Linked DNA regions of Yarrowia lipolytica. The protein of the gene in region 2 interacts with the protein of the main gene of each other region in a biochemical or structural test. Links are inferred from orthologs where the notes say so. Each region holds a gene or a part of one and is shown on either strand. Other genes may lie near its edges.

Evidence for each region.
Region 1: of the proteins of YALI1_C20646g (region 2) and YALI1_C31453g, one has a biochemical effect on the other in vitro, tested with the Saccharomyces cerevisiae proteins (3 studies listed by BioGRID, with this or other methods). The link is inferred for Yarrowia lipolytica from reciprocal best matches to the Saccharomyces cerevisiae genes CDC24 and CLA4.

The regions. Positions count from the first base shown.
Region 1 is NC_090772.1:3,141,532-3,147,069, forward strand, and holds YALI1_C31453g (uncharacterized protein), read right to left. Parts: upstream 3,793-5,538; coding exon 859-3,792; downstream 1-858. Other genes in the region: YALI1_C31408g (uncharacterized protein), read left to right, coding at 1-475. UniProt on the Saccharomyces cerevisiae protein: Involved in budding and cytokinesis.
Region 2 is NC_090772.1:2,061,403-2,066,603, reverse strand, and holds YALI1_C20646g (uncharacterized protein), read left to right. Parts: upstream 1-1,969; coding exon 1,970-4,279; downstream 4,280-5,201. Other genes in the region: YALI1_C20664t (uncharacterized protein), read right to left, coding at 1-174; YALI1_C20597g (uncharacterized protein), read right to left, coding at 4,865-5,201. UniProt on the Saccharomyces cerevisiae protein: Promotes the exchange of CDC42-bound GDP by GTP. Controls the polarity of calmodulin, and the calcium regulatory process of bud emergence. CDC24 may be involved in the initial selection and organization of the budding site.

The sequences.
Region 1 (5,538 bases), about 1.1 Mb from region 2:
CCATGTGTACCCAACCAAGGCCGCGTTTGAGTCCTTTGGAGCAGGGTTCTTCGCCAAGGGATCCGAGTATACTAAGGTGCTGGCTGCTCTGCTGGACGACGGAGGTAAGATCTTGTCAAAGGAGTCTGTGGATCAGATGTTCACCAACCAAATCCCCCAGTGGCCCAACTATGGACGACGAGGCATTCCTGCTGCCAAACCTGAGTACACCAACCCTCTGCCCGAACTGTTTCCTCAGGGAGAGGCGCCTCAGGGATGGGGCATTTCTTTCATGCAGACCGTGGAACCCACCCAAACTGGCCGGGGTCCCAATGTCGGCTGGTGGGCCGGTATCATGAATTCATTCTGGTGGGTCGATCGGACCAAGGGTGTTGCTGGTCTATGCCAGGCGCAGATTCTGCCGTTTGGAGACATGGACACAATGGTGCTGTGGCAGACTATCGAGGCGTTGACTTACCAGGGTCTGAAGGAGTAGGCCGGGCAGAAAGCACGAACAATGCCTGGATGCTGTAACTGCCGCCTGGTGCTCGTCTCTGGCCACACCTTTCAAACTGACTTAATGAACTAATGACGCCTGGCTGTACCAGTTCAACAAATTTCCTGTTCGGATACGTCTATCTATAAGAATATAATGAATAAGTTGAAGGAAAAAACTCATGGACGAACCTCCATCGCTTAGGTTAAGGCACTGACCTCTACATTCCCACGTTGCTTTCACATCCCCCAACTCTTTGCAACCTACGATATGGAACAATCTCGATAATGTACACCCACTCAGGTCATTCTATTTAATTCAATAATTATGTAAAGTCCAAATTCCACCCATATTCACCGTTATACCTATACCGTACCCATGTCCTAAATCTTCTTATGCTTGTAAGCCAACAGCGGACTCAAACTCTGCAAGCCACAGCCCTTCTTCAAGAACTCATGGTTGACCAGCTCGTCGGTGGAGGCTCTGTAATTGACATCAACACACAGACAGACAGAAAGGAACGCCTTAATATCCTTGCTGAGCCGTTCGGGATGCTTCAGCTTGGGAGTACCGTTAGTGGCAATCAGGTACAGAGCCTTGAGAGGCTCCTCGTTCAGGTAAGGAGGCTCTGACTCGATCATCTCAATCGCCATGATACCCAAGCTCCACACATCTACCTTAGCACCATACTCCTTCTGCTTGACCACCTCAGGGGCCATCCAGTATGGCGTGCCGACCATGGTGGCTCGCTTGTTCTTCTGGTCCGTGAGCTTGGCGCAGAAACCGAAATCAGTAATCTTCACATGACCCTGGTAGTCCAACAGCACGTTGTCACTCTTGATGTCTCTGTGGATAATGTTCTGATGATGCAAGTGCTGCAGACCTTTACAGGTCTCGCCGGAAATTGTGGCAATCTGCTCTTCACTCAGACTGTTGTTATCAATAATGTCAGTGAGAGCACCGCCCTCCATATACTCCATGACCACCCACAGGTCGTTGGTGCCTCGCAGATAGGCGTCCAGGAAGTTGACAATGTTGGCATGCTGCGACTCTTTCATGACGATGATTTCGTTCACAATGAGCTCCTTTCGGGGCTGTGACGCCAGATCCATCTGTTTGATAGCCACCTTCTTGAGCTGGAACTCGTTGGTCATAGGCCGAGCCACATACACAGAGCCAGACGCACCCTGACCCACCTTCTTGAGCTTCTGGTACAAGGGAGTAGGGTCCTGGGGGTTGACCACCGACTTGAGCTTCTCGGTGATCTGTGCGTCGGTCATGGTCGAGATTCGACGCTCGTCATGCTGGGGCTTCTTCTTGGGACCTTCGAGAGCAGCAGTTGTAGCAGCGGCGGCGGCGGCAGCAGCGGCAGCACTAGCTCCACCAGGAGACGTCTTGGTAGGAGACGTCTTAGTGGGAGACATTCTTGGGTAGCCACCCTGGCCGACACCAGCAGCAGAGGGCTTCTTGGGAGACGTCTTGGGGGTCGTCTTCTGGGGCGATGGTGCAGGCCGCTGGGGCTTGAACTGGTTAGCCGCTCCAAGAGCGGGAGCAGCAGACGTACCTGAAGATGCAGGGAGTGCCTGGGGCTGCTGAGTTTGCTGAGGCACAGGAGCAGCTCGCTGGGGCTGGAATTTGTCTCCACCGCTCTGTGCAGGCACCGGAGGGGCAGTCTGAGGAGGCCGGTTGGCAGGGATGGCCTTCTTGACCATGAGAGGAGCGACGTATGAGTTTCCCGACGACACAGAGTTGATAGAACCACTGGAGTTCTTGTGTCGCAGCATGGGTCGCTGGGGGGGCGGTAGATCGTGCAAAGCAGCTGTGGCCACGGGAGAGGCTCTGTATGCGGTGGGCGATGTCTTGGACGACAGAGAGCCCTGCGACGACGACTGGGTCATCGACGTGGGCGTCGTGGGGTAGTTGCCTCCGGTGTTGCTGGTGGGCGATTGTCGTTGCTGGTACGAGTCAACGTCGGGGTTGATTCGCAGCAGAGGATGCACGGGGGTCTGAGTGCCGCTGCCACTGGCTCCGCTGACGCTTCCACTGCTGTTTCCAGCACCGGCACGCATTTCGTTACGCAGTTCCTGTCGCAGCTCGCTTCGGTCCCTAGGGATCGTCGAGGTCGATGGCAGTCCATCAGGTCGCTCAGGCCGTGGGGGGGCCGCCCGGGTGACGTTGGGGACCGAGGGTCGTCGGGGGACGGATGTGGACGGAGAAAGAGACGTGAGAAGATCGTCGTCGTTCTTTCGTGTGGCATTATATCGTGCGGGAGTGGTGGCTGTTGAAGAGCTGGAAGAGCCAGTACTAGGGACGGGTTTGGTCCACTCCTGCAGGTTGTTGGCCATACGCTGGGCCTGCTGCTGCTTCTGCTGCTGCTGCATGGCCCGCACACGAGCGGCGTCCATTGTCAGGCCCTCATCAAACTTGTTCTCAATGCCAATGCCCAAAGAAGATGCGTTGAATCCCATGGCCTCAACATTTTCCTTGCTGTAGAACTCAAGCACCTCGATGACGGCCTGAGGGTTCTTGGCGTAGTCTTCCTTGGTGATGGCTGACGTCGAAAGCAGCTTGCTCCAGGCGTCGGGTAGACCAGTGAAGCCTCCGGAGATGGGGTCGAAGCCAACGTGCACCTTATGTGTGAAGTTGGTGGGATTAGAGACGCCCATGAGTGGGCATTTGGAGTAGATCTCATCGATCCAGGCGTACAGCTCCGTGTCATTCTTGCAGACGACGAACACGGACTTGAAGCCCGACGACCGCACAATCTCGAAGCAATATGGCTTGAGATCGACACGTGTCACGTTCGAGACCGTGTATAGCGGGATGGAGAACTGCACTGACGACGTCTCCGACTTTTGAAAGTCCAATGCATTTTCCCGCAACACCAAGTACTTTTTAGTCCACATGAGCGACCGGAACGATGATCCATCCTCCTTGACGGACGCGAACCCGGACTTGAGCACCCTGTTGGACGACGCGGGTCGTGTGATGGCGTCTCGTGTGATGGTGGGGGCGGTACGGGGCTCTGTGGGGGTCATGAGCCCGGAAAGGTTTGTGCCGCTGGAAGAGGCGGTGAGGCTACTGGCGAAGGGCTTGGGTGGCGGTGGGGCAGGACCAGGGTTTAGAAATGCTTGGCTGAATTGTGACATCTGAGTTAGTACAGTCTTCGAAATGAGTGTTGCGAGCATCTCGAATGTAGGGACGACAGGAGAAGCTGCATACATCATGAGCTGAATGTGGGCTCCTTGGACAGCTGTGTGTGTCGTAGCGTCTTCATCATGGAAAGTTTGGTATTGCCCATGGTCGGGATTTTTCATAGTCGGGATGTGCAATTAACTCATGGCAGTGCGACGCTCCACGCTATACATGGGCTGTGTATCAAGGGCTGTGTATCACAATGCAACGTCTCTGCACAGTTTTGTATGGTGGACGGTTCGCTCTGATGTAGAGTGGGTTGAAATGAATCGCTTCGTGCTGAGATCACTGGTGGTCAGATGGACCTAGATAGGCAAAATGAGATGTGAGGACACATGAGACACACCATGGCAATATACGCAGTGCCATATGATCAGCCCATCTGCAGAAAGCAGTGCCGCATGGCCCATATATCTGCTCATAGCCTCGATTTTGTCATATGTGACTCCCACCCCCCCTGTGTCCAATGTGTCCTACACGTGTCGAATCGTCACACCAACAGTGCAGATGCACACAGTGCGCCCAAGGTTGGAGACATCCGCCTCCTCTTCACTTTGCCCATCACCTCATAGTCGCAAACACCCATCCATGTTCTATCAGTTCGTCTATCATACTCACTTTAGCCTGTGTGTCGTTCGTTGTTCCAAAGAGTGTCCTTGCGGTTGTCTAATTCTAGTATCGATGATGTGTCGTTTTGCAACTGAGTCTGTGTGAGGAGGCTTTTGTGTTGGTGAGTATCACTGTCGTTAGTGTATCGCTGTCGCAAGTATCCGGTTCTGTATCTGTGAGTATCTGGATCCGTATATTGTACCTGGTTTTCGGTCCTTTGGTGTTGTGTGCGTGTGTGAATCTGGGCCGATTATGGGAAAAAATGCAAGTAGTTAGAGAGAGTCGTTAGAGCGAGTTGTGGAGAGGGTCGTGAAGAGAGTCGCAGAGAGTCGTTGAGGGACTGAGTAATCGAGAGGGCTCGTTCTTCTCCGTTCTGCGTCGCTCGTTGTGGTTTTTATTTCTTTGGCAAAGCTCGACAAGTGGTGGAAAAAAGACAATGATGAGGTTCAGTGGTCTCAAAATCTAGCTTCTGGACTTGTCAAAACAGTCCGTGAGTAAAGGGGTCCAACCGTAACCGCGATAGGCTTTTTCGGAGGGGATACACCTCGAGCAAGACAGACAGGGGATAGTAGTGTTGTGAGGGGAGACGAGAAATAGATAGCTAGCGGGCGTCTAATTACGGGGTGCGAGTAATTATTAGTTTGACGCCTTTTTTTTTTTCTCTCTCTTCTTTTGCTCTTTCTTTGGCTTCTCCGTCTTGGATTCCTGGGTTTTTCGTGGCTCTTTTTACACTACAAGTATGAGCACCCAACCCAACCCAGCCTGAAGTTGCCTCATTAAAAATACTGACTGCCTTCAGACGTTTTTTTAAAATTAGTCTTTCTATGTACGGCAATGACAGACTATAGATGATATTGCGATGGTGCGACGGAACAACTGGAGTAAGAGAAGATCTCCAACCAAAAAAAAAAAAAAAAAAAAAAAACCAGCTTCAAAACGGATAAACCGGATAGAATTACAACCAAAGATCTGCTGTCCTCTGTAGTACCAATAATGGGTGGAATTTACAACAATTCCTCTCCCTAACCAAGTTTTCTCCCTCCCGCATCCCAACCCAAACGCGACGCGAGATAAATAAACTAGACTCACATTAATTGACATGATAGAGGTACATGGCTGGTCCAGTGACGTGAACCGACAGCATCGGAAAAGCTCCTTGACAAACACACACACAGTGACACATAACGACCTAGGGTCACGTGAGCCACCCCTCCTCCCGCCTCCTCCTCCCCCACGCTCCCGCTTGGTCTTCTCAACTC
Region 2 (5,201 bases):
GTCGTTTTTTTTGTTGTTTTCATCGTTTTTGTCGTTTTTTTGGATTTTTTCAATGTCGGTTTGGTTGGGGGTTTCGGTTGAGGTGGCTCCATCACCTCGCGATAAATCAGGAGGTGGGGGGTTCGGAGCGCCCAAGGAGTTACCCGCCGAAGCTTGGGCTTGCGCTGTTTCCATGGTGAACGTTTTTTCTGGTCGCGCTCGATTAATAGCTCTGTTTTGGTAAACCAAAGAAGTGAGTCGTTACATCTATATCTAATCAATCGTACTTATGATCCAACATGATCTTCAATAATAACCACGACGATGCCAAACTCTGTGGGAGTCTAATGAGGACGGGGTTATATCGGAGTTCAATTGCTGGAATTCCATTTTGAGAGAAAGAGGGCATATATCTGGACTTGTTGGATTCTAGAAAGACTCTTTGCACGTCCCTACCATCTCTGTTGCGCCTCTGAGAGACTGCGCATGTTTGTTCAATGTGACGGTTTCAGCTGAAACTTTACTGGCCCGACGTATTACCTTCAACGTATTAATGCGCCGCTCTAATTAACAACATACAAGAGTGGTAAAACAAAATAGGTTGTTGGACGAGTTGGCGCGGTGTATAAAACATTCTGGGGACGCTCGGTGAGACAAAAGAGGCCCAAAGAAAGCAAAGGACTAATAAGAGCGTATTCAGCGCGTCTCGGCGGCTAATTCCACTGAGCACTTCGGAGTCTGTCTGCACAGGTGCGTTGTTCACATAACTGTGGGAGAGAGAGAGAGGGAGAGAGAGAGAGAGAAGAGAGAGAAAGAGATGTGGATGGAATTATGGTCTATAAATAGAACCGGCCTACAGCAACACGAGGTCTCGTGCTGTAAAAACACATTCAGGGTCTCGCAATTTCGTTGCCACGTGGTAAAAAGGCTTCTTCGTTTGTACAATGAATGGACTTTGGCGACGAAAAAAACCACGAATGCGAGTCATCGGACCACTTCTTGTTTGGATATTGCAATGGGGTAGAAGAGGCTACAGTGAAGGTACCTGTTTTTTATTGTAATTGTATTGTATTGTATTGTATTGTATTATATTGTACTGTACTTGTACTTGTTCTCTACAAGTCTTATACCTACAAGTACTGTACTTGTGCTTCTCGTGTGTACTATACAACATGTCTCGTGCTCTACCCTCACACTCGTCCTCCCAAATCTTTTTAAAGGTTTTTTTAAAGATTTTCAAAGCCCGACAACTCGATAGATCGAGAGGTCAGATCGTGGGGCCAGATCGTGGGGTCACAGAGTAGAAAAATTCACCAGAGAGATGGGAAATCCGGGCTCTTTATCACGGAGGAGACCTTTTGATGGTCATCTCACGCCGTGTCCGCGGCCAGAATTGACGTTCCGCGGCCCAAATAGGCTCGGCTGACTAACATCCAGGGGCTGCGCATCTCCCAACTAAAACAAGGAGTCCGAACAATGTTGGGAAACGACAAGGAGCGGATACGAGGCCAAAACACCACGGCCGCAAAAGTCGGGTTCCTGTGCGAACTGTGTTCCGCTTGTTAATTTATCGAAGTATATATTATATATAAATATATATTATATATAAGGGGGTGGTGGTTGTCTTGTGGTTTGGTTTAGGGCTCAGGGTCCGCCACTAAACTCTCTATCTCAGGTTGTTTTATCGGGCCACTTATTACCAACCCCCCAGTCCTCTCCCCCCCCCTCACTCGTATCCCCATAAGGTTCGGTGTCTTGCTATTGTAAAGGCCCACCGCACTTGTTGACACTACCTGAGAGGACGTGACGACGTGAGTTTGAACGACACAGCACACACACGACACAAAAGCAGGCACGCTTCCATCATCGCCACGGGACTAGTCGCATCGCCCGCCCACGTGACCACACGCCTCGCACCCTCCCACGCACATCCATTTCAAAACCACGCACCGTCCACTACCACGGTCCCCCCTTGCTCCCGTCGGTCACCATGAACGGATCCTCTCGAAGACTGTCTCCGCCAAATGACAACCTGGCTCACCAGCAGATGCTGCACCAGGAGATCAACAACCTGCTACCGTCGTCGCCATACACGAAGACCCCCCAGCAACGCAAAAGCTCGTCGCAATCCACCCCGTCTCTGTCCACCTTGTCGCCGTCCACACAGAACTCCACATACCCCTCCACGCCGCGTTTGCGATCCATGACGCCCACCATGTCCATGTCGTCGGTGCAGTCAACAGCCCCCACCTCGGTGGCTCCCATGCCGGTGGCAAACCTCGTCATGAACAGACAGGCCGACTCGGAAAAGTCGCTCTACAATATGTGCAAGACCATGCGGGACCGGTTCCACGACATTGAGCAAGTGCGGCCCTTCCTGGAAGACTCGGAAATGTCGTCCATCGTGCCCATCACCCACCTACCCCCCTCCATCCCCCTGGACCCCGTTACCCAGCTCTGGTCTTTGTTCCGACTAGGAGCCCCCCTGTGCATCTTGTTCAACATGCTGCAACCTCGAACTCCACTCACAGTGGACCCCCACGCCGCCGCTAACCGCGCGTCCATCGACGTGCGAACATGCAAACGGTCGGTCTACGACTTTGTGCAGGGCTGCAAGGCCGAGCTGGGCTACTCGGACGACGAGCTCTTCACCATCTCCAACCTCTTTTCCGAAAACACGGGCGATCTTATCAAAGTGATGCGTACGGTCAGCATGGTGGTGGAGACGCTGGAGGCCAGACACCTGCTGCCTCCGAAAACTGCACCCATAACCGCACCCGCCACCCGAGACGCGCGATACAACGTGGTTCAAGAGCTGCTACAGACAGAGCGAAAGTACGTCCAGGATCTCGAAATACTGCACGACTACCAAAACCGTCTCCTGGAAGCTGAAATCCTAAACCCAGACACTATACATCTCATGTTTCTGAACGTATCTGCACTGGTCGACTTCCAGAGAAGAGTACTGGTCGGTATTGAACATGTGTGCTCTCTGCCGGTCGAAGAGCAGCGCTTTGGCGCACTTTTCCTCAACATGGAGGCTGGCTTTCACATCTACGAGCCCTACGCGCTGAACCAAAAGGCGTCCTCCGATCTGGCTGTTCAGGAGGCCCCCAAACTCACCGCCCTCGCCCACATCATCGAGCCTACCTACGAGCTCCAGGCCTTCCTCATCAAGCCCATTCAACGAATCTGCAAGTACCCATTACTGCTACGAGAGCTGGTAAAAGTGAGCAGCAGCGACCATCCTTACGCGTCAGAGCTGCTAGACGGTTTGGAGGCCATCAAGCGGGTTACCAACAGTGTCAACGAGACACAGCGAAGGGTGGAGAACGTGGCTATCATTCAAGACCTGTGCGAGCGAATAGATAGCTGGAAGAGCTACAACCTTGAAGATTTTGGAGACCTGCTCTACATGGACCACCTTACGATTGCAAAGGAGTCCGGTGAATATGAGTACCTGGTGTATTTGTTCGAGGCCATCATCCTGTGTTGCAAAGAGACACGTGATAAAAAGGGTAAGACAATGAGTTTGCCCTCAAAGAAGCCACAAAAGACAGTTCTTTCTCTCAAGGGCCGAATCTACATCGCCAACGTGACCAACATGATATCTAGTACAGAAAACGGATACTCTTTGACGCTTACGTACAAAGGAGACGGCTATGGCTCTATGACCATGCGGTTCCGACACGAAGAGCAACTGCGACAATGGGATGCTACCATCAAACAGCTGCACGACTGGTACAACCAGGACTCGTATGAGTCTCACTTTTCACCTCTTGTGGAGTCTCCAATCAGCAGCCGAAACTCCCAGCAGAGCTCGCATCTGTCTGAGGACCTGGACCGACTGACGCTTGGAAATCGGTCTCTTTCAGGCCCAGTGCCCAAGCTGGGCCCCCGACAGCACTCCACCACCTCTATCAACGGCATGCACGGGGCTAACGGCATGAATCACAGCTCGGTGTCCATTGCGAGCAGTAATGGAGGAGGCATGAGCCGGGCTAGATCTGCTTCTACTCCTGGCTTTGATGATGGCTCCATGCGTCCCTCAAACATTAAGGTACGCGTACAGTATTTCCAGGACGTATTCACGCTCATTGTGCCTGCCAAGGTCACCTACGATCAGCTGATTGAGCGGGTGGAGCGAAAGGTGCGACTGTGTGGAAAGGTGGTACCTGCCCCTCTGCGAATCAAGTACCAGGACGAAGACGGAGACATGGTGACCATCCATTCGGATGAGGATATCGCCATGGCTTTGGAACAGAAAAATTTGGAGCAGTTGAATATTTGGGTCGCATAAGAGCACGCATCTTGAACAACGTGGTACGGACATGTATCAAGAGCGATCATGTTCAGCAAGAAACTGCTCCGCAACCAGCTCAGGCTGTACACTCACTACTACAAACGGCGGTGTTCGACTGCTTTGAAACGACGCAGATCTCTGCAAAAACGATATAATCAAGTTATTTATGTTATGTGACCGGGAGTGCGAGTACCGTGTGTATTGAACAAGATCTCAGGCACTCGCCCCAATTATCAACGTCGATACCAGTAACTCGTACTTGTGTGACTGGACACCTACAAGCTGTGTTCTGAACACGGAACCAGATGATGAAGGGTCACTGTTGTTGTCAGCGCGATAACATGATACAGTAAGATCCAAAGACTACAGCACGGTGGATGTAAAAAAAATGATATTAACGTCTAAGACGCGGATGTGCAAAACACATGTAAGTAAATACAACATTTGGGGTTGTGGGACTAATTGGTTGTCTCACGAGTCACTCTCTCATGAGTGCGCTTCATGGGACTCCCCAGGTGATGGGGCAGGATCACATGCGATTGTGCATTGGAGCACTCAGTTACAGACAAAAGTGGAATGTGCTTAAGTCATGGAGTACTTGGGACCATCTCCACCCTGAGGAACAGTCCAGTTGATGTTCTGGCCAGGCACCTTGATATCGCAGGTCTTGCAATGGATACAGTTCTGCGAGTTGATCTGGAATCGAACGCCGTCACCAGCGTCATCCTCAATGTACTCGTAGACACCGGCGGGGCAGAACCGGGCCTCGACACCCTTGTACTTCTCCCAGTTGTCGGCGGTATGCTTGGCCAGATCAGCCTCAGTGTTGATCTTGAAGGGAGCGTCAGCAGGGTCAGAAGTGAGCTTCAGATGGACAGGTTCGTCTTCGTCGTGGTTAGTTCCGGTTCGTGACACGGAA